3 linked regions of the Caenorhabditis elegans genome follow. The protein of the gene in region 3 interacts with the protein of the main gene of each other region in a pairwise test. Each region holds a gene or a part of one and is shown on either strand. Other genes may lie near its edges.

What was found. The genes of interacting proteins can lie anywhere in the genome.
Region 1: the proteins of eat-17 (region 3) and rab-6.2 interact in a two-hybrid assay, tested with the Caenorhabditis elegans proteins (one study listed by BioGRID).
Region 2: the proteins of eat-17 (region 3) and rab-11.1 interact in a two-hybrid assay, tested with the Caenorhabditis elegans proteins (one study listed by BioGRID).

What each region holds. Positions count from the first base shown.
Region 1 is NC_003284.9:17,219,014-17,226,058, reverse strand, and holds rab-6.2 (Ras-related protein rab-6.2), read right to left. Parts: upstream 3,585-7,045; 5' UTR 3,581-3,584; coding exon 3,520-3,580; intron 3,460-3,519; coding exon 3,347-3,459; intron 3,295-3,346; coding exon 3,189-3,294; intron 2,863-3,188; coding exon 2,751-2,862; intron 2,160-2,750; coding exon 2,005-2,159; intron 1,956-2,004; coding exon 1,885-1,955; 3' UTR 1,594-1,884; downstream 1-1,593. Other genes in the region: T25G12.6 (VWFA domain-containing protein), read left to right, coding at 1-89, 135-218, 460-540, 589-649, 693-824. UniProt on the Caenorhabditis elegans protein: The small GTPases Rab are key regulators of intracellular membrane trafficking, from the formation of transport vesicles to their fusion with membranes.
Region 2 is NC_003279.8:107,081-113,465, forward strand, and holds rab-11.1 (Ras-related protein rab-11.1), read right to left. Parts: upstream 2,978-6,385; 5' UTR 2,965-2,977; coding exon 2,925-2,964; intron 2,877-2,924; coding exon 2,755-2,876; intron 2,704-2,754; coding exon 2,412-2,703; intron 2,367-2,411; coding exon 2,185-2,366; 3' UTR 1,594-2,184; downstream 1-1,593. Other genes in the region: Y48G1C.8 (DUF7747 domain-containing protein), read right to left, coding at 276-468, 516-1,081; rpl-7 (Large ribosomal subunit protein uL30), read left to right, coding at 3,975-3,985, 4,081-4,180, 4,430-4,627, 4,675-4,891, 4,939-5,147; F53G12.9 (GST_C_6 domain-containing protein), read left to right, coding at 5,285-5,401, 5,447-5,572, 5,620-5,823, 6,159-6,302, 6,346-6,385. UniProt on the Caenorhabditis elegans protein: The small GTPases Rab are key regulators of intracellular membrane trafficking, from the formation of transport vesicles to their fusion with membranes.
Region 3 is NC_003284.9:16,412,372-16,419,579, reverse strand, and holds the start of eat-17 (Rab GTPase-activating protein eat-17), read left to right. Parts: upstream 1-2,739; coding exon 2,740-2,852; intron 2,853-6,273; coding exon 6,274-6,380; intron 6,381-7,208. UniProt on the Caenorhabditis elegans protein: Rab GTPase activating protein for the small GTPase rab-6.2. Required for grinder formation, which is the feeding organ that breaks down food.

The DNA.
Region 1 (7,045 bases), 810 kb from region 3:
GAAACTGATCTTATCGCCACGTGGAATCATTTCGAAAGAACATCAGTAATGGGATTTAATACACTGGTGAAGAACCTGGACCCCATCAAGTAAATTTACAATTTTGAGTTGTGAGCGTACAGAATAAATTTTAGTTTTGGTGACTTGCAAACCAAAGATGAGTTTGTCAGCATTGTTGATAGCTTCACACCGTTCAAGGATCAGCCGAGTATTGTTTCGTGAGTTTTTGGCAAAAAAATTACAGTTAAAGTGTAAAAAACGTTTTAAAAAATTGAGTTAACATGCGTGGTGCAGTACAAAGGTTTGAAAACGTTTTTCAAAGTAGCTTAGATCTCCGCCTCAAAGGTAGTTTCAATTAATTAAAATTTGAGCGCCCACAATTCAGAATTTATTGACAAATATGCTATCATCACAAGATTAAGGAAAAAAAACATAATCAAATACTCTAGCTTCTTTTAGGGCATTCAATATGGCTGTCAACCGCGCCAACCCGCTAAAATCCTTTGGAAAGATGAACTCCGTAATCTTCACTTCTGGGGCGTATGTTTCCAAAATGAAGTTTTCTTGAAAATTTTTTCACTTTTTCAGAACACCTGCTGAAATCACTGCATCACTGATGAATTCACAAACTTTGCGACAGAATGGAAAAGTAAGACACAAAAATGTGAAATTTCCATCTGCTAGTTTTTCAGGTGATCATTGTGGGGCTTCAACTTCCGGACGCTACACACCTGGACACGCTTTGTGATGTTCTCCTGAAATGGGATGATTTAACAAATACAGAAACTATCAGCACTCAAATTAACCAAGCACTGAGTAGATAAATTTTTGAAAGGGAGGATTGAAATAAATTAAATTTGTTATTTCTTTGAAATAGTAGGCATATGAGTTTAATTTGAAAAAATAACGGTTTAAATTAAAACCGTTAAGTGACGATACCTTTCACGGAGTTGTATCTTTCGTACGGGTATAGTTTTGCGTATAAATTTTGCATAAATGAACTACAATTTACGTCACTAAAATGTACAAGTACTTTTGCCCGTTTTCGTGTCGTCGTACCGATATTTTCCGCACGGCATTGAGCGGAACAAATTTTAAGAAATTTTAACAATCTTGAACTGAAACAACTGAATTGGAATCTGGAACTTGTAGCTATTTAACTGAAAGACTTTTTTTTTTTAAACATCTGAAATTATTCCAAAATGGGCTAGTTTCATCAAAAATCTACAATGTGCAAACGACGATTTTTGAACAACATTATGAATTTTTTGTCTTTATTTCCACCAACTTCACTTCAACGTTTCACATATATCTTTCCGGGCCAAATATGTTGCTCTTCCTCATTGTGTTGCTTTTCAGGATAGCAGCTCATTCTTAACCGAAAAGCACAAAGTCAATATTTGATTAAAACTGCGTTGCTTTTCGTCTTTTCTTCCACCTCCCCATCATTTTTCGTGATCTACTGCTGCTAGTCTAACACCAAAAGCGGAGAAGATTTATTCGAGAACAGAGATGTTGGGAGAGTAAAAATGAAAACAAAAAAAAATCATTATCACACTTAAAATTAGCCAAGCAAAAATAAGAAGCAAAAAATTTAAAATAATAATAATTTATTATGTTACAAAGAAAATTACACATGTTTACCATCGCATAAGTTAATAGAGAAGAAGCCATTCAGAGTTCATTCACACAGAAAAAATCGATAATGTTTTTGGGGAATTTTAAGATATCAAAACTTACTGGCGATAGCGCTTTTAAGGGGGATAATTAATATTTCTTCATGACAAAACCATTACGGGGGCGGAGGATGCTTTAAATAAATTATGCGTTGAGATTGGAGTATCACAACCTTTTTTTGACATTTTGCTCAGGAATACAAAGAGATTAGCACCAGCACGATCCCTCGTCGGTGACAATTTGACGCTGACGGATTGGGTCCATCGTGACCACATTTGCTGAAAAAAATCATGGCTTTTTGAAGTTAAAAAGGTTTTTAAAACTTACGTGGCTCCACTGGGTCGTCCTTGATGATTCCTGGTAGGGCTCCGGCGATACGACGGAAAAGCTGCTTCACATTGTAGCCGGCCTTGGCAGAAGTCTCGATGAACATCACATTAAGCTCCTTGGCCTTTCTCTCTCCTTCGTCGGTGGTGACTTGCCTGAACAAAATATGTAAGTCTTATGTCAGTTACAAATTAATAGACCTGGAGCATTACACATTGAGTTTATTAGTTAGGTTAACAGGTTTCAGAAAAAGATAGTTCAGCTAAGACCACGCAAGATCAGCTCGAAACAGGCCAGCGCAAGGTAAGTTTAGCTTGAACTAATTCTGTTTAGAATGCGCATTTTTAGCCTAATGTAACGTAGATTTTGCTCAGGAAAAATCAAATTATGGGAGATTCAGCTTATGTAGCTTATGTAGTAGGTTCAACTGAATTGTGTTTAAGGATGAGCTGGAGATAGAGAGCTTGGGCTTGAAAAGCGTAGGCTCTGATTATAAAAAATAAACTTGAGGTAGGTCCAGTTGAAGCTAGTTCAAGTTAGTGCAGATCCAATTTATGTTAACGTAATTTCAGTTAAAGCTATTTCCTATCTCCAAACAATATCTTTAGAGAAGGTTTTAAGCTAGCCAAGATTTCATACTGAAAGTTATGCCGATTAAAACTTCAGCCTGGAGCTACTTAAATGCATATTCCGCCGTTTCCACTACACAATTTAATTGAATTTTTAGCGGAAACTCTCATTCGAACCTCTTATCGGAAAGATCGGTCTTGTTGCCGACCAACATGATGATTACATCACTTCCACGCTCAGTACGGACGTCGTCAATCCACTTGGAAGTTTGATGGAAAGAGTTGGAGTCTGCAAAAAAGTTGGGGTTAAATGAAGCTTTTTTGTCGTTACCGAGAGTTTTTTCATTGCCCACCCTAGTTCAAAATCAAGATTAAACAAAAAATAATGGTTTCCTTTTGGATTCTAACTTTTCTATCAATATAAATTGTTTTTTGAGCTTCTCTTCTTGCTAGAAGCTTTTCGCATTAGAGCTGCCAGTGACTATTGTAGTATTAAACCAATATAGTTATTATAGTTACTACTATATACACTACTATAGTTAAAAAATTTCTCCCAGAGGATCCAGTGTGAAGCTTTACAGCATGAAACATCAGAAAAACTTCTTCCAAACTTACTGGTGATGTCATAAACCACAACAGCAACTGTAGAATCACGGATGTAGGATGGGATGAGTGAGCGGAAACGTTCCTGTCCAGCGGTGTCCCAAAGTTGAAGACGAACCTGAAATTACGGATTTTGAAATCATTTCTTTACGCAAAAACTGATTTCTTACGGTTCGGTCCTCCAAGTACATGGTCTTACTCAGGAAGTCGATTCCGATGGTGGCCTGGTAGGTGTTGTCGAAGGAGTCGTACATGAAGCGAGTGATTAGGGAGGTTTTTCCGACTGAAATTTAGAAACTTGAGAATTCAATATCTACGGTAGAATTTCAATCAAAATACTCACCACTTTGTTCCCCGAGGAACACAAGCTTGAATTTCTTCAACGGATTACCAAAGTCCGACATTTTTCTGTAATTTTTCTAAAATTAAATCAAGTTTTATTTTAAAAAAATTATAAATGAAACTTCTCGCAAGAGGAACACGAACACGAGACAAAATAACGGAAGAGATGTGGTCACTGCCACGCAGGGACAAAAATCGATAGGAGAACGGGTGTAAGGCACGGAAAAGAGGAGAAATGCAACATTTGGGCCGCATCTGTGTCTCTTTTTCTCATCGATTGTCTCTCCTCGCTTTACGAACAACTGAGCAGTAGAAAACGAAAAAAAAAGGAGACGAAAATGAGAAATTTGAAGCGAAACGAGCTAAAACTGATGAATTTAAACCGTAAAAGGTTTATGAAAACGGAAATATGCTATGCAGTGAACACTTTCCCCCTCTCAGCCGGTCAACCACGTAGCGATATGCAGGGGCAGAGACTCAGGCGAAAGGGGTTTCCCGTCGAGACCCGACCCCTCGGCCGCTCGTAAATCCACACCTGCGCACTGCGCACTGACCATAACAACACGTTTAGATGAGGGAGTTTTGTTTGTTTTTTGAATAGAGGTCAACTTAACGTTTCGGAATTTTGATTTTTGTTCAATAACTTCAAACAAATCTGAAACTGCAGCTCAGAAGTTTAATTTCTATTAATTCTTAACAATTTGTTTGCCTGATCTGTTATTAAATACAAAAATTATTTTAAAAAATAATTTTAAAAAAAGAGGGTTTTAAAAGAAAAAAGTACACAGTTAAAAATCGAAATATTTAATACTAATACTGAATTTTTTTCCAAAACAAAGATTTATTTTTTTAACTTCAATTTTTGCAGACTTAAATAAAAAACGTAGTTTTATCAGTGTTTCAAATATGCAGCTGTCACAAAAGCAGCGCAAACGAGTCATTTTTTGAATTAACATGAAAAGTTGTACATTTGAAAATTTTAGTTCAGAATTCAGAATAATCCGAACTATAGAAACTAAAAGTCTCGGAACTTTTGGAATAATTTTCGGCAAACAATCGTAAAACAATATTCAAATGGATAGCTAATTTTAAAATGAACTCTTCACAGAAAATATGTGTTCTTAAAAAATTTGTTTCATAAATAATAATATTAAAACTCTAATTAGTAACTTCAATTCGCTATAGCTGTGCCATGAACTTTGGAAAATGTGCCTAATCCATTTTTAGCAATCTAAACAAGTCTAAAGGAAAATTATTTAAAGAAAACAGACGTAAAAATTAAAAAAAAACACTTCAAAACATTTATGACTTTTTTTTGGTTTACTTTCAAGCATTTTAATCACCGTTTTAAATAGCTAATTTCCACTGAAGGAGACCAAATGAGTCATAATTTGATATAAATGCGTAGGAGGCATTTTCGTGATTGGTTTTATTATGTTTTAACTTGAATTGCAAAAAAAATGAAAACGATACTTGAATCGTCATTAGATTCATGTCCAAACTCTGGGAAATGTCTAAACAAAATTCAAACAGTGAGATTCAGACTAGGGACGAGAGGCTCTTCCGTTCGGCAAATTTTTTTGTCTGCCTCCTTCCTAAAACCCCCATCTTGCCACACACACGCGTTTTCGGTGTTCAAAAAATGTTCAAAAAATGTCCGAAAAATGTGTAATACAACTTTGAACGTTTATATCTCGGCTCTCACGGAACCGATTTTTGAAATTCTTTTTTCTCTACATTCACAAAGTATAGCGACGTGTGTTCATCTAAAAGGGGGTTGATTTTGGAGCATCCTGTCGGCTCCACAAGCGGAAAACCACACCCTCTTGTTTTTGCGCACACCGAAGTACTGGCCGAAAACCACTTTAAATTGAAGGAAAATTCGAGTTTATGTTCAAAACGTTTGAGACTCGAAACTTAAGTTCTCCTTTTCAATGCCTATCCATTGTATCTAAGTTCATTGTGATATCTCTATTCGTTATTTTAAAAACGATAATTAAAGTTTTGCCAAAATTTCTGCACCTCCCCCCTTTTCTCACACACACACCCACCTCCCCTTTTCATATTTGGTGTGTTTTCGGCCACATTTTCACCATTGTTTCGGTCATATCTCCGTTAGTCTTGCTCCTTTTTCAAATTTTTTTTTGGAAAAATGTTCATCACATCGAGAGGAAGCGGAAAATATAATTTTTTGTTTCAAAAAAGGTAAATAATAGTCTCAAAAATAGAAAAAATGAACACTTCTTTCAAACAATTTACATTTTTCCATAAAATTCACAAACTTTCCACTATCGTTCCGGTTTTTATGTTAAATTTAGAATTAATAGAATAAAATAAAATGAAATCTCAAATCACAGCTTGATCCGATCATTTTTCGCAGAGATAGGTTATTTAATTTTTGCACATGGAAATCCAGTTTTCCTCTGTTCCTGGACAAGTTTTCAACTATCCTTTCGATTTGATGTTTTAATTTTGATAATTTTCATTGAAGCAAGGTAGACAAACTAAATTTGGTCGGTCTTGACAACTTTCAGCACATTTGTGGAAGTTTTGAGCTTCCAGGCCTTCCCAGAAGGTGATATGTTTCAATTTTTGTTATTTTTAAACATAATAACCGCCGTATTATTCTACTTTTTACGCCAATTTCAACAATTATTTAATTTTTCTCAAACTCCTACTATGAGCAAAGTTATGACGGATTGAAGTTTTAGTGCATGACTCCTCACAGGCCGCCTCTCCTCACAAAAGGCTGCATGCGTGCGGGTGGCTGGAAAATGTTTTCTTTCCAAAAAAAAACAATAGAAAGGCACTTTAACTCTAAGAAGAAGTTCACTTTGAACATATACTTCAGGCATTGCAGGCCGGAGGCCTGCTGTGCGATTACAACTGTTTTAAGCCCAGATTGGCTGGATTGAGTGCCGCAGGCACTCTTACTCTTAGAAGACGCAGTCAACCTTAAATCATTATACCAAGGCAGGCCGGAGGCCTGATATGCGATTACTCTTAGATAAGTTTGATTTAGAAAGCTTTTATTATTTTCAGTTTTCTAAAACAATCCCCATTCCCGAAGGGCTGGGGGCCCACAGGCGTTCACGATTTTCCAAAAAGTAGATGTTATTCTCTCGAACCTAATAACCAGGTTTGAGGGCCGCAGGCCCGAACACTCTTGGAAACTATGGGCTGGCTTTGATCCTATTCTAAGCAGATATGTTATTAACTCAAGCCTAATAACCAGGTTTGAGGGCCGCAGGCCCGAATACTCTTGAAAACTGTGGGCTGGCTTTGATCCTATTCTAAGCAGATATGTTATTCACTCAAGCCTAATAACCAGGTTTGAGGGCCGCAGGCCCGAATACTGTTGAAAACTGTGGGCTGGCTTTGATCCTATTCTAAGCAGATATGTTATTCACTCAAGCCTAATAACCAGGTTTGAGGGCCGCAGGCCCGAATACTGTTGAAAACTGTGGGCTGGCTTTAATCCTATTCTAAGCAGAGCAGGCTGTAGGCCTGCGACGCGGTTGTTATTT
Region 2 (6,385 bases), on a different chromosome or scaffold from region 3:
AACCGTTGATTTTGAATATTTTGAGCCAAATTTGGCCAAATAGGCATTAAATGCACTCCAGATGACTAAAAACACGTGAAAAAAGCTATTAAAATTAGGTAAATAAGACAAAAACAGAAAAAAAAGAACTTGAAGCGAAACTGGAGCCCATTTTTGGAGACAATTCTCATTACAAAATTGGTTTTTTGGGCACATTTTTTAGTCTTTCTAGTTATTTCGAACATTTTCCGAAGAATTCCCATAAAACTTTGAAGCTTTTCCATGTAAGCCCCTACCAATTTCACGTGGTACTGCCTTTCAGCAAGAGCTTTACTGATAACTCGTTCTCCTTGAACTCGGAACATTTTCGACGGTGTCGCCGCCGCCGGATTTATAATTTTCATCGCCTTCTTCTCCTTATCCCCATCGTCGATAGACCCATCGGTATCCATTGGCTTGCGTGTTCGGACACGTCGCTGTTTGCTGGGCCTGGAAAATTTCGATTTTAAAGATTTTTTAAATAAAAAATCCCCCACAAATTCATTTCCAAATCCGGTGGTTGCCCATCCATAAACCCGTCGTCCTCCTCCTCATCATCACCGAACGGGTCCATTTGTATGCGATCCTCGTCTCGATATCGGGAAAGGTTCAGAATTGGCGGCTCATCCTCTACGATGACCTCCGTCTCTGCGTGGAGCATCGAGTCGTCGCCGGCGAAGATGGGCTCTCCGAGCTCTCCGGCGGTGAGCTCCTCCAAATGTGGCGCTGGCTTTCTCTTTTTCGCGTTTCGAACCGTACTTTCCTCCGTCCTGGAGCGTTTTGGAGCTGCGATCGAGCTTGTTGATGCAGAGGCGAGCGCTTCTTCCTTTGGGATGCCCAACTCGTAGTCTTCATTGTTGTAGAGCACGGATTTCCGAGCATTTCGACGTGGACGAGATTTTGTGGCTGGATCCTGGGGCTCTGCGGCAGGCTCTGGATTTTGCTGGGGCTCTTCGGCCGGCTCTGGATTTTGCTGGGGCTCTGTTGGATTTTGCACAAGCTCTTGATCAACTTCTTCCTGATTTTCTGCCAATTCTCCCGAATTTTCAGGATTCTCGGACATTTTTCTGCAATTTAATAATTGAAAATAAGAATAATTAACGGGGTGGAAAATTAAAAATTAAACAAGCATTAAAATAAATTTGAAAAAGTCCTGATTTGTAGTCCGCAACGCACGCACGCAAGCATACACCAGAACAACTAAGAGAGACGGGAGGAGAGATGGAGAATTTGAAAGAGACGGCGAGGCGACGAGAGAGCCGGAGGATTGAGGAAGGACAAACACACAGATGTGGGGTCTTGCAGCGCTTTCTCTGCGTCTCTTTTTTCGACATTTTTCAATGGGAAATTTTTTTTTGGAGTTTTTCTTTTTTTTTATCGGAAAACTTCAAAAAATTCAAATGGAAACGCTGTACGGACAATGCATAGAATAACACGCAAAAATGCACATTTTTAGGCCTTAGGTTACTGTAGTGGTCTCGGCGCGAAAATGCGGATTTTCATTTTGAATTCAAAATAAAAAAACTGGACGTGATTTGGTACAAGCGTTTAGTGAAAATGTTTCACAAAATAGGAGATCAATTAGATATATTTATTTATTCATGGAAAATGACTATTTGGAAAAAAATTGCGAAATAAATAAAACTCGATTAAAAACAATGTGCATATGTCTTCGTTGCTTTCTTGGCGAGGGTTTCTCGGTATCGAGTTCTACAAGAGACACACATTACGAATAACCAAAATAGTTTAGGTAATATACACATTGGGTGGGGGTGGGCCAGAATAATATTGAATAAGGGTGAAGAAAAAATATTCAAAATACGTCGCTGAAGTTGGCATACAATCTTGAGTCGGATAAATGGTAAGAAAGCAGCACCACTCAACTCAGATCACAATCTTCTGAAGAAAAAGGGACGAATGTATAGGTTCGGAGGGGGGGGAGGGGGAAGGGGTGGGGATGGAGGCAATTACAAATAAATCTGAAAGAAAGTTACAAATACTACACACCAAAACGGTGAAGACTTGCAAACGCAGTGCTTGCAAGAATTCGATAAAACTCGCGGATGTTAAGAGCGAATCATTTGGATTTCGGGGGCAGTAAATTAAATGGACAAGGCATTTCGAAAAATACACACGTTAGACTGAAAAAAAAAAACACGATGTGATTTATGGGATGCAACACTGCTTCTTTGGTGGGTCGGACGCTGGCGAAGGAATGATTGTACCACTGCCACCGCCATATCCTTGTCTGTCAGTTCCTACATGCTTGTTGGATACTGATTTGTAGATTTCCGTCAGGATATTAGTGAAAGCTGCTTCAACGTTGGTGCTGTCGAGGGCAGATGTTTCTGAAAAAAAAAAATATATAAACGCAATAGATTAGTTTAACTTACCAATAAACGACAATTGATTTCTTTCGGCGTAGATCTTGGCCTCGTCTGTTGGAACTGCACGCAAATGGCGCAAGTCGCTCTTGTTTCCGACCAACATAATCACAATGTTCTGATCGGCGTGATCACGAAGCTCCTTCAACCATCGCTCAACATTCTCGTACGTCACATGCTTAGCGATGTCGTAGACTAGGAGAGCTCCGACAGCCCCACGATAGTAAGCGGATGTGATGGCACGGTAACGTTCCTGTCCAGCAGTATCCCAAATTTGAGCCTTCACTGTCTTGCCTTCTACCTACAAAAATAATAATTTGAATCATAAGTGTATTCTAATGAAGTTCCTCACCGAGATGCTTCTCGTGGCAAACTCGACTCCGATTGTTGATTTTGATTCCAAGTTGAACTCATTTCTTGTGAAACGAGACAGGAGATTCGACTTTCCGACGCCTGAGTCTCCAATCAGAACAACTGAAACAATTTTTCGTTTGGGAATTGAAAAATGAAAAACAAAATTACCCTTGAACAAGTAGTCGTATTCATCGTCACGAGAGCCCATCTTTACTGCTGAGCTGTAAAATGATAAAGCTTGTTTGAAAGTTGTGTATATATTGGGACGATTGTAAAAAAGAAAAAGGGCATTGGTCACATGATTCATCAGCCGGGCGCAATGTTTTGTTGTAAAATCGATATTAAAAGAACGAGACACTGTTTTATCGGCGGAGAATATTTTTATGTTCTGTTCCCGACACAAACGCGGAGTCAGGAACCGGTTGTCTATCTCGACGGGGATTGAAAAAATATAAGTGAACTTGATTTAAGAATGATTCAAAGTATATGGAGTTGGGAGTTTTATATTGAATTTTATCAATATATGAGGGTGGTTAGTCAGAAGAAAAATGTGAAAATGTATATAGAAGTGTGTTATGAAAGAGTATTTGAGGCTTATCATACCCGAAAAAGGGAAGGTGAGCGGCCGAACTTTGTTTGTCGACACGATTTCGAAATAGTTGAACAGGATATTTTTAACAAGGGAAAGCTTTCTCTGGGTGTTCTTTTTTGATAATTTCAGCTAAAAATTGAAAAAAATAATTAGTTTTATGGCTGTGAACATCCAGAATAAGCTTTTCCGAACGCGAAATGCGTGTGAAACCCATAAAATCGAACGTAAAACAGGTCAGGCGCACCGGCGCAGCCACGTCGGTCTGAGGGTACGCGACGCTAGCCGCAGCGCAAGCCTCCTCGGGTCTCGGCACGACAACTACCGTACCCCTTTCGCAGCGGCGCAACGGAATCTCAATTTTACATTTTTTTCTTTTTGGCCTAACGAATTTTTCCGTTTTTTCAGAGCATTTTTCATTGATTTTCTTAAATTTTCATCAGAATAAATTTTAGAACTAATTTCCCGTAATTCTGATACGCGTTTTTTATAGTTTTCGTGAAGAAAATGCTGAACATTCGAAAAATACTGAAATAATTTAGTTTTGAAAACTTGCTCCTCTGTTTCAATATCTTATAATTTTCTTTTCTGATTAATATTTTGATTTTCCAGGTAATCAATCGCCTATAATGGCTCCAACGTAAGTTTTCTTTATAAATTTATATTAGATTGAAATTTACTTTTAGGCCTGACTTTCAAATACTTCAATTTTGATATTAATTCTTGGTTTTTCAGAAAGAAAGTGCCACAGGTTCCAGAAACTGTGCTCAAGCGCAGAAAGCAGAGAGCCGATGCCCGCACCAAGGCTGCTCAACACAAGGTGACCGTCGCCGCTGTAAGTTTATTTAACTGTCAGAAAACAGAAAATGCTCTTCAAAAGCACTGGTTTTAGGATCCACTATTATCCAAGCCAGCCGTCAAAACTGAGCTATAAGAATTATCTTGTTTTTGGGTGAGGTGTATTCAATTCAGAATGCGTCTCAATAACACGATGACAATTCGAAATTTTAAAGTTTAAATTTTCTTTTAGGTGTTTGAAAATTAATTTGAACTAATCCTGCATTAAAAATAAAATTTTTTACAGAAGAACAAGGAGAAGAAGACCCAATACTTCAAGCGTGCTGAGAAATACGTCCAGGAGTACAGAAACGCCCAAAAGGAAGGACTCAGACTCAAGCGCGAGGCTGAGGCCAAGGGAGACTTCTACGTTCCAGCTGAGCACAAGGTCGCCTTCGTCGTCAGAATTCGCGGTATCAACCAGCTTCATCCAAAGCCAAGAAAGGTGAAATTGTGTTAATGAGTTTTTTAATAACCATTCTTTGTTTTCAGGCTCTCCAGATCCTCCGTCTTCGTCAGATCAACAACGGAGTGTTCGTCAAGCTGAACAAGGCTACTCTTCCACTTCTCCGTATCATCGAGCCATACGTAGCTTGGGGTTATCCAAACAACAAGACCATCCACGATCTCCTCTACAAGCGCGGATACGCCAAGGTTGACGGAAACCGTGTCCCAATCACCGACAACACCATCGTCGAGCAGAGCCTCGGTAATTTGAAAACTTATGCTTTTTAATTCTTATTTAATTGTTTTCAGGAAAGTTCAACATCATCTGTCTTGAGGATTTGGCCCACGAGATCGCCACCGTCGGACCACACTTCAAGGAGGCCACCAACTTCTTGTGGCCCTTCAAGCTCAACAACCCAACTGGAGGATGGACCAAGAAGACCAACCACTTCGTTGAAGGAGGAGACTTCGGAAACAGAGAAGATCAAATCAACAACCTTCTCCGAAAAATGGTCTAACTTGTTTGTTGTTCATACCTTCCTTCCGGATAAATCGTTATTGTTTGACGTTGTTTAATTATGTGCATAAATAATCATGAAACGTGATCGTCTTGGCTCGACTCATCTCGCATTTCATGAAGCGTCTCATCATTCAGATGAATCGTAAAACCGCTTTGCTGACTACTCTCCCGAGAACAGTCACTGTTCCCTACTATGCTCCATCCTGTTTATTTCTAGAAACTTTTCTTCGGAGCAAGCTAATTCCCTATGAAGTGAGAGCATTTAGGTTAATAAACATAGTCCAGATTTAAATCCAGACAACGCAATGTTCTCTCTACAATGTACTCCCTCGTGAGCACCTATACCCATTGATTGATGTCGATGGGTATTTCTTCAAAAATTTGATGGAAGGACTTGATTATCTGCTCGCCAAATATGGAAAAGTTGGCTTAAAACTAGAATTTTAGAAAAAGCTTAAATATTCTTCCAGTCTCTGGACTCGGGCCTGACTCCAAAAGAGCGAGCACAGGCTCTCGCATTGAGCGCTTTGCTCGACGAGCTTACTTGGATGCTCGCCTACTCGCGAGGCCAAGATTTCACGTGGCTCCGCGATGATCGTAAGATTATCGAAGACTTCGGGCTTGTTCAGCTCTATTTTTGGAGGAATTGGATTGTACCGCAGATGCAGAAACGGGTAGATTATTGATATTTTATGGAAAAATCGATAAAATATTGATTTTTTACTGAAAAAATTGATCAAAAATCGATTTTTTTTTCCTCGGAAAATCTGTAAATTAGTAGTTTTTTGTTGAAACAATCGATAAAATTCTGGTTTTTCAGAAGCAAAATCGATATATTAGGCCAAAATCACCAAAAATTATCAATTTTCCTATAAAATTTACCATTTTTGGCTAGATTATCGATTTTTAAGGCAAGAAAGTCGATATTTCACAATTTTTTATTGATTTTTTTGGCTTTCCAGCGCGCAAACTGTGCCAAGATCTAAATTTTCCGAAATTTTCATTTCAGACACGCCGCCGAGTGCGAGGCTACGGAATATCCGGAAAATCGGCGAGAAAGGAGGTCGCCTGCCGAACTGAAGCAATGTTGGAGGCATTGGCCTCACTTTTGGCCTCGAATAAATACTTTTTCGATGTCAATGAACCGTCTTGGGTAGGTGGCAGCCAAAAAACTCGGCCAAAACTCGGCCTTTCAGCTCGACTGCAAGGCGTTCGCCGTGCTGGCTCAATTCAAAT
Region 3 (7,208 bases):
TATATTGGAAAGTATGTAGAAGTAGAAGTTGTTGAATTGAAAATGTCCGCATTTGACAAAACCTTCATAATGTTTTGCTTTTTTTTAAATAATATTATTAAAGTTGGGCAGAATTTTTATATATCATTGAATTCTAAAATCTGAAATCAAAAATCACAAGCGCAAAGAAAATTCGTAATTAACAATTCCACGCTATCGGAGATTCGCTATACATCAAGAAAAATAATTTTTTCGTCGTTCAGGAACTTTTGAAGAACAGACTTTGAGGTTTTTAACTTTATTTAAAAAAATATTAAATCTTAAATTTCCATTAACCGTAATAAAATTTGTATAAAAAATTTTTGTTTCTTAAATTTCAAAACAATTTCGTTGATCTTTTGATTTCAAAAAAAAACAACTAATCAAGATATTTTTGACAACACACTTGATTTGTTGTTTTTTTTTTATCAATAGTTTGTTTTATGCTTCAAAACAGAAATAGGCCAGTTTTAGGCTTGAAGAAGACCACAAAATTTTCTTTTTTAAAAAGTTTTTAAACGCTAGATGTAACATTTTCATGGATATTTCCTTGCTGTTTCATTTTTATATTATATTAGTACTAAGAAAAATGATAAACACCTCAAAAAGACCCACATATAAATTAAGTTTCTTTTAACATTTTTTAAAAAATTATTTTTTTGAGATTTAATATGTTTAGAAATTCTGGAATTTTTCCCCCAAAACCCGCAAAAAATATAGATCCTTTTTGAAATGTGAACTTTCCATGTTATTCCTCTTTTCATGTTTTGATGGCTAATAAATCATAACGAAAATCTCCGCGGACTTCATTTCAATTTCAATTGTTAAATTTCAATTTTCATATTATTCTACAAAAATAAATACTTGATACACTTACTTATATTTCAAAGTCTCTTTTTTACTCTCACATTTACCAATTCTAGACTTGCATACTGTTCGATTGCACACCTCCCCCCTCTTTTGATCTTGTGTTGGAGGCGCCCCCCGCGCGTTCTCTCCCCTCTCTTCTTTTCCGTCTCTCACTCTCTCGTCGCAACGGACCACCATTTTTTGATTCCGTTTCCCTCATTAGTCACTCTCTCTGTTTGTTTTCATTTCAATTTTTACTTTTTAAAGGTTTTGTTTTTATTTTCTGTTTTCTGTTTTCCGACAAACTTTTGACATATTATTTATGAATTGACTGTGCGGTTCTTTTTTAGGTTACGGTAGTTGGTACGGTAGTGTTTTATCAGTAGTGGATACAAAATTTGGAGAAAACCATATTTTCATATTTTATCCTTGAAACCCCTTAAATTTTCGAGCTTACTCCGATACTTTTGATTCTTCCGGAAAATTTAAAAACTACTGAAAATTTTTACATTTAAGTCGCACATTTTACTCTGAAACATTCTGAAATTTTATCATTATATATATATATATGATTTATCTAGTTGAACGTACAGTAATATCATACCTCCAGTAACTATTCATTCTGCTATTTTGTTCGCCATTCCACTCTTCTCTATTCTTCCGTCCCATTCGATTCTGATTCATATTTCGGTGTCAGGGTATCAACACCACCACCACAAATATTTGCAGGCGAAAGTTTTTGCTTTTTTTTTGTTCGCCTCTGCGACCTACTAATATCAAAATCTCCTCATCAAACAGGCCAGCTCGTTGTGCCACTTTTCAGTTAGTCATTTGGTATACAAATAAAAACAAAACCGATAAGATGCAGGGCCTCGAATTACTCGGGTTCTCAGTCAGTTAGTGTCCGTCGGCGGAAATGTGAAATTTTCTAAAATTAGAGAAGATTGGGTTTCGATAATTTTTTTTGTCGGGTTGTGGAAAATTGATTCGTCATGGGTAAAATCGTAGTAAAAGATCTCGAGATATGAAAAAATTGGAATTTTTCTATAAATAAAATGGATTACGGTATAGTACGGTAGAAAAACTACGTTTTCTGATGAAGGTCTGTGAAAATGATTTTCAACAAAATTAGGACCGTATAGGACCGAGCTATTGGATAACTTTTTTCCAGCTTATACAGTAAGAAGTCCAGCAAAGTTTTGATATTTGATGTAATCTCGTTCTGAAAGTAGATAGAATTAAAGTCCACTAGCCACACGTTGCACCTCTGTTTTGGCTTTCACAAATAGTATTATATAACCGTATAAATAAATAATGACATCAGTGTGGACGCTGCTCCAATCCGTAAATCTCGTCCCTCCCCTCACTCCCGCGCGCCTTGTGTTTCCCTCCGGAGAGCAAAACCCAGCGCGGAAACCAAGACGTGTTGAAAAACTAATAGTATGTCTTGAAGAAGCTAAAGCACATGACCATATTTGCTCCATTTCTGTGGGAAGAAGAAGCGATGGATTCAGAGACTCGCGGTTTGGTTGTGTCACGCCTACTTCGGACTGTGCGCACGGCCCGATCGCCGCCCGGTCTCTTGCCTCGCGTCGCTCCCTTCGCCTATCGTTCTCTTTTCGACTGTATGCTGTTTCGCGTCCTCCTCGCTACGACCATATAGACTCAATAGTGGCGACGGACGCGCAAAACACGGCTCTCGGCTCAAAATTTTTCCCCCTCCCCCGCTGAGCTCAACTCGGGATTGTTCGCCACTTTTCGACTGATTATCTCTCGATCAACACCCATACGACCAACAACAACAACAATAGAAAAAAAACAGCTACCAACATCAAAATATTTCACTTTATTCCGTAACTCTACATATTCACGATGGTGCCCTCGCCGGCTCTTGTCGGAACGCCATCAGTGTTTCCACATCATCAGTCTACGTCGTTTTTTCAAGAAACTGCTAGCTTCTTCAATCTAGACTGGGAGCGATTATGGTAAGAATTTTGGGATCATTTTTAAAATTGGAGGTTTTAGAAATTATATTTTTGAAATGGTCAGAACATTTCTCAATTCAAAATTTGAGACTCATTTTTTTCAAGTTCCCAATTGTGCTTAATCTACTAGTACTCAACTATCTTTCTAATAGCCTTCCAACTTTAACTGATCGAACTGTACCTCCTCTTGTGCTTTAGAAACTTTGTATTATTGGTCGTTTTAATCCTCTACGTCAAATTTAATACATTTTTCCTATTTCTGTGCAAAGACTTTGATTCAAGTAATCTATAGGGTGCTTTCCATCAATGTTTGATTTGAGTTTGATGTTTATTTACCAGTTTTAATTTGATCAACTGAACTTGGCCTACTATCCATCAATAGATTAGCCTTTTCTCTTGCCAATTAATTTTTGACTGGCTTTTAATCAAAAATCATTGTTCCAACTCTTCTCTTCATTCTTTTTTTCCTCTAGACAAAGCTCTTCACCCGTTTCGGTCCGTGCGCGGCGCCATTTTTGTTCTTCTCCTCCGATTGGTCATCGACAGTTTCCAAAAATATCCTGGCGCGGCGCCACGGAAAACCGGCGTTTTCCTGTATGCATACAGGAGGAGTGGGGGGGGGGACGAATCTAATTTTGGAACACTAGGTACACAAGCATGATGGCATTCCGTTGGCCGTGTGTCCGAAACCTTGACCAAACCAGGAAATTGTGTGATTGGCATGTTGGCAACGAGTTTTCCCGAGATTGAGAATGGAACAAGGAACTGATCTTCGAGCGCGCGCACAAAGTTAGGGACGACAACGTTCTGTTTGCTCGTGTTGAACTCACCGTGGTTGGTTTTTTTCCCTTGCAGTTTACTGCAGGGGCTAGCTGCTCCGAACGTGACAACACGAGCAAATATACGGGACCGAGGGGTCAGTCAGCGATAAATAGGTCAAGGCTTTGTGTAAATCCTCGAAACGTGGTGGTGGGGTTTGATAACAGTTTGATGAGTCGTGTACAGTTGGTTCGAGTTGAGATGCAGGGGAAGGTGTAAGCAATATTGCTATGTATTATAAATTGAAAGAAAAGGTCGATCCGTTCTTCATGCGCTATGCACTGCGGATCTGGGACTGCCCGGTGGTGCTCCCGCTGGGCTATAATTTAAGCCACGTCCTAGCCGGGGACTGTGGCCGATAATCCAGTTGTGGATTACTCCAATAGTGGCTGGATGTACCTAGGGGTGAGGCCGGACTTGAACTCGTGGCCTCCAGATTGCTTGCGTACCGAAGGAACTATCCTGCCCCTCTGGCTAATTTGAAAAACGCTAACAGCATAAGACATCGCAAACTTTGATCAATGTCGGCTGCTTTTACTATTTCGTTTTTCTATACTGGAAATAAGGTACAAACTGGCAAAGTAATAGTTTTTGCACATTGGCTTTGTAGAATAATAAGACAAGTTTCACTGAGACCTGAACTTTTCATTTTCCGGAGTTTTGATTTTTTGGAAATCGGAATAGTGTTAACAAGTTGTAAAATTTGCCACATTTTCAAAAGAAATTCCTCTAGGTTTAGATTTTATCCTGTTTTCTTTGAGCTACCATATACTATCGTGTCCTCAGGAACTCGTGAAACTTTGTACAAACCCTTTTCTCTGTGCGCTTCAGAAGGTAAAACTTCATAAATTTTCATTTTGTACTCAGATAGATGTAGAAATCGCGGCAAGACCCACTCCAAAAACATCATCGTTCCAAACTATGATAGCTTAAATTTTACCATCAATAGGACGGTATTCATCACAATTGCGACTGCTAACTCGCATCATCAATTGTATCAGCATTGGCATGCAACACACAGGAAAACATGTTTTGTATTAAAGCGGTCGGGTAACCTGTATACATCTCGTTTTCTCTGCCACCCTCCACTCTCTCACCATTTCCACGCGACGTCTTCTACGTGTGGGATATACTACAGAAGAACACAGGGAGAGAGAGAGATAGAGGAGGGAACACCGCCACCACTACGCAACAGTGCACAGGAAGGTCCACACACACCACACCTATCCTCTTCTTCCTTATTTATATCCTTTTTATTGATTGCGTGCGTGTTTGGCAATATCTGACCCCGACCTTTTTTCTTCGCCCTTTTTGTCCTCAGATCGCTTGATCTCACCTCAAAACTGACCGCCGCCATCCGTTCCTGTCAATTACACGTCTCGATGACTACTGACGACTTTTTTAATATTACAATTGGATTTGGTTACGAAAGCCTTTCTTTAGTTTGGAGTTTTTAGGTAATTGAGAAATGATTTTAAATAGGAAGTTTAGCTGAAAGTTTTTAAGTTTAGTTACAAAATTTAAAAAAAAAAAAATTTTTTCACTTGAAGTTTTGGCAACATCAAATTAACGAAATTTTATACATACAATTTGTAGAAAAAAAACATTTGTTTTTTTTGACGGCTTAAATTATGAGTGACTGAGTAATCGTAACTTTTTGACTAAAAATTTGAAAAAAAAAACATTAAAAAAGTTTTACTGTGATATTTGGCCATTTTAGCACAGTAGGTGTAGTCTCCAAAAAATTCACATAAATGTTTTTTTTTGTATTTTTCAATTTTGGTTGATTTAAAATTGAACTGAATATGAAATTTAGAAATTTGTGTAGATCTACAATGTTGAATTCAAAATTATAAACTAGAACAGTTTTTTTTCTGAAAAAATAACAATTATCATTTTTTCCGACAGTTATGATTATTTTTGTTTTAAACAATGTAGAAAGTTTTGAGTGTATTCTGAATAATTTTCAGTGCATCATTTTCAGTCAAACTTTATGTTTTTTCTCAAATCTCAATTAATATTAAAAGTATTCCCCATCCACGTGTCCCTTACAAGAGAACTGTTTTGTTATCTCGCACTATGCAGAGGCGGTGGCTAGTATTAAAACTGATAAGGAAAGCATTCAAAGCTGGAAGAATGACACAACAAGAGATGGCTCGCCCACCTTTTGAAATTTGAAATATTCCGTTAGTATTCCGTTCTTCGTGGAACTTTATAGGAACAGCTCTTTGCATTTTTATTTCATTTTGTATTGTGTTTTTCGACCATTGCAATGTTGACAATGATGGGGTGGAAGGAGGTTTTGTTAATTAAAATTAAAGATGACGCCTTGCGTGGTGTCAGCGGCTACTTGATTTCTCCCCGTAGCTTTTTTCTTTGCGTTTTTTTTTTTCAGTTTAAGACTTTTCTCTCTTCTGTGCTACCCAAAAAGTGATTGGATAGACTTCCGGTTTGACTATTGACATTTTTACTCATCAGTGCTCTCCTTGGCCAGCATTACTTTGTACAATAAAAAATGGCATTTTCATGACGCTGATGACTCTTTCCATTCGCGTTTTCCAATTTCTATATGTTCGATCATTGAAATATGTTTTTTTTTCAGGCATTCGCGTTCAAACTCGAATTCAACGTCGTCGCCACGCAACTCGCCGTCCCAATTGTCACCGCCGATGGCAGCCACTGCAGCGCTACGTCGGAGTTCGGATTACGGTAAGAACGGTTTTTCAAAAAAGTTTTATAGACTTTTGAATTTTGATATGCAGTTCTAAAAACAGAGACACTTACGTTAATAGAAATAACTTTTTTTGAACTTTCTTTTTAGTTTTCGTTCAAATTGGCCCCTCTAATTTTATCTAAAACTAATAAGGACTATACTTAAAAACAGAGTTCTAATAGTTTAAGCCTACGTGTCTAAGCCTGAAGACTTTCTAAGCCTAATTTATACTCAGGCCTACCAATTCACGATTTTCTACCAGAATTATTTTTTAAATTCAAAATTCTGTATTTACGAGAAATATTTGAATGTTTTCAAAAAATAATTTCTACAAACGAAACTATAGGAAAAAATGTGCCGCACCCTGAAAAATGTAAACAATATTGTCGTGGCGAGACCCAATTCGCAGTTGTTTTCTAGTACTAGTTTTCCCCCCAATTTCCCTTTCCATTACTATTCATGATAGAAAATTGAATGCAAACACGCAAAGCACAACAGTGCCGCGACGATTTGCATTGTTATAATACGGACGACCACCACCACCACACACACATTCACACACCTGTAAATTTAAATATAGTTTAACAACTAAAAAAAATGGGGCAAAACTAGGGAGTGGGGAAGTATTCTTAGTTGTAGATGTTGTAGTAGTAGTAGTAGTAGTAGTAGTAGTACTAGTTTACTGTGAGCCAGTAGTGCTCAGCTGCTCGTTTATGTATGCATTGTAAAGGGAGGGGCGGCGGAAGGAGAAGAGCTTCTCTTGTAGTTGGACACATAGCTACTGGGTCACCGAAATCTTTAATTGGGCCTCGACCGACGAGGTG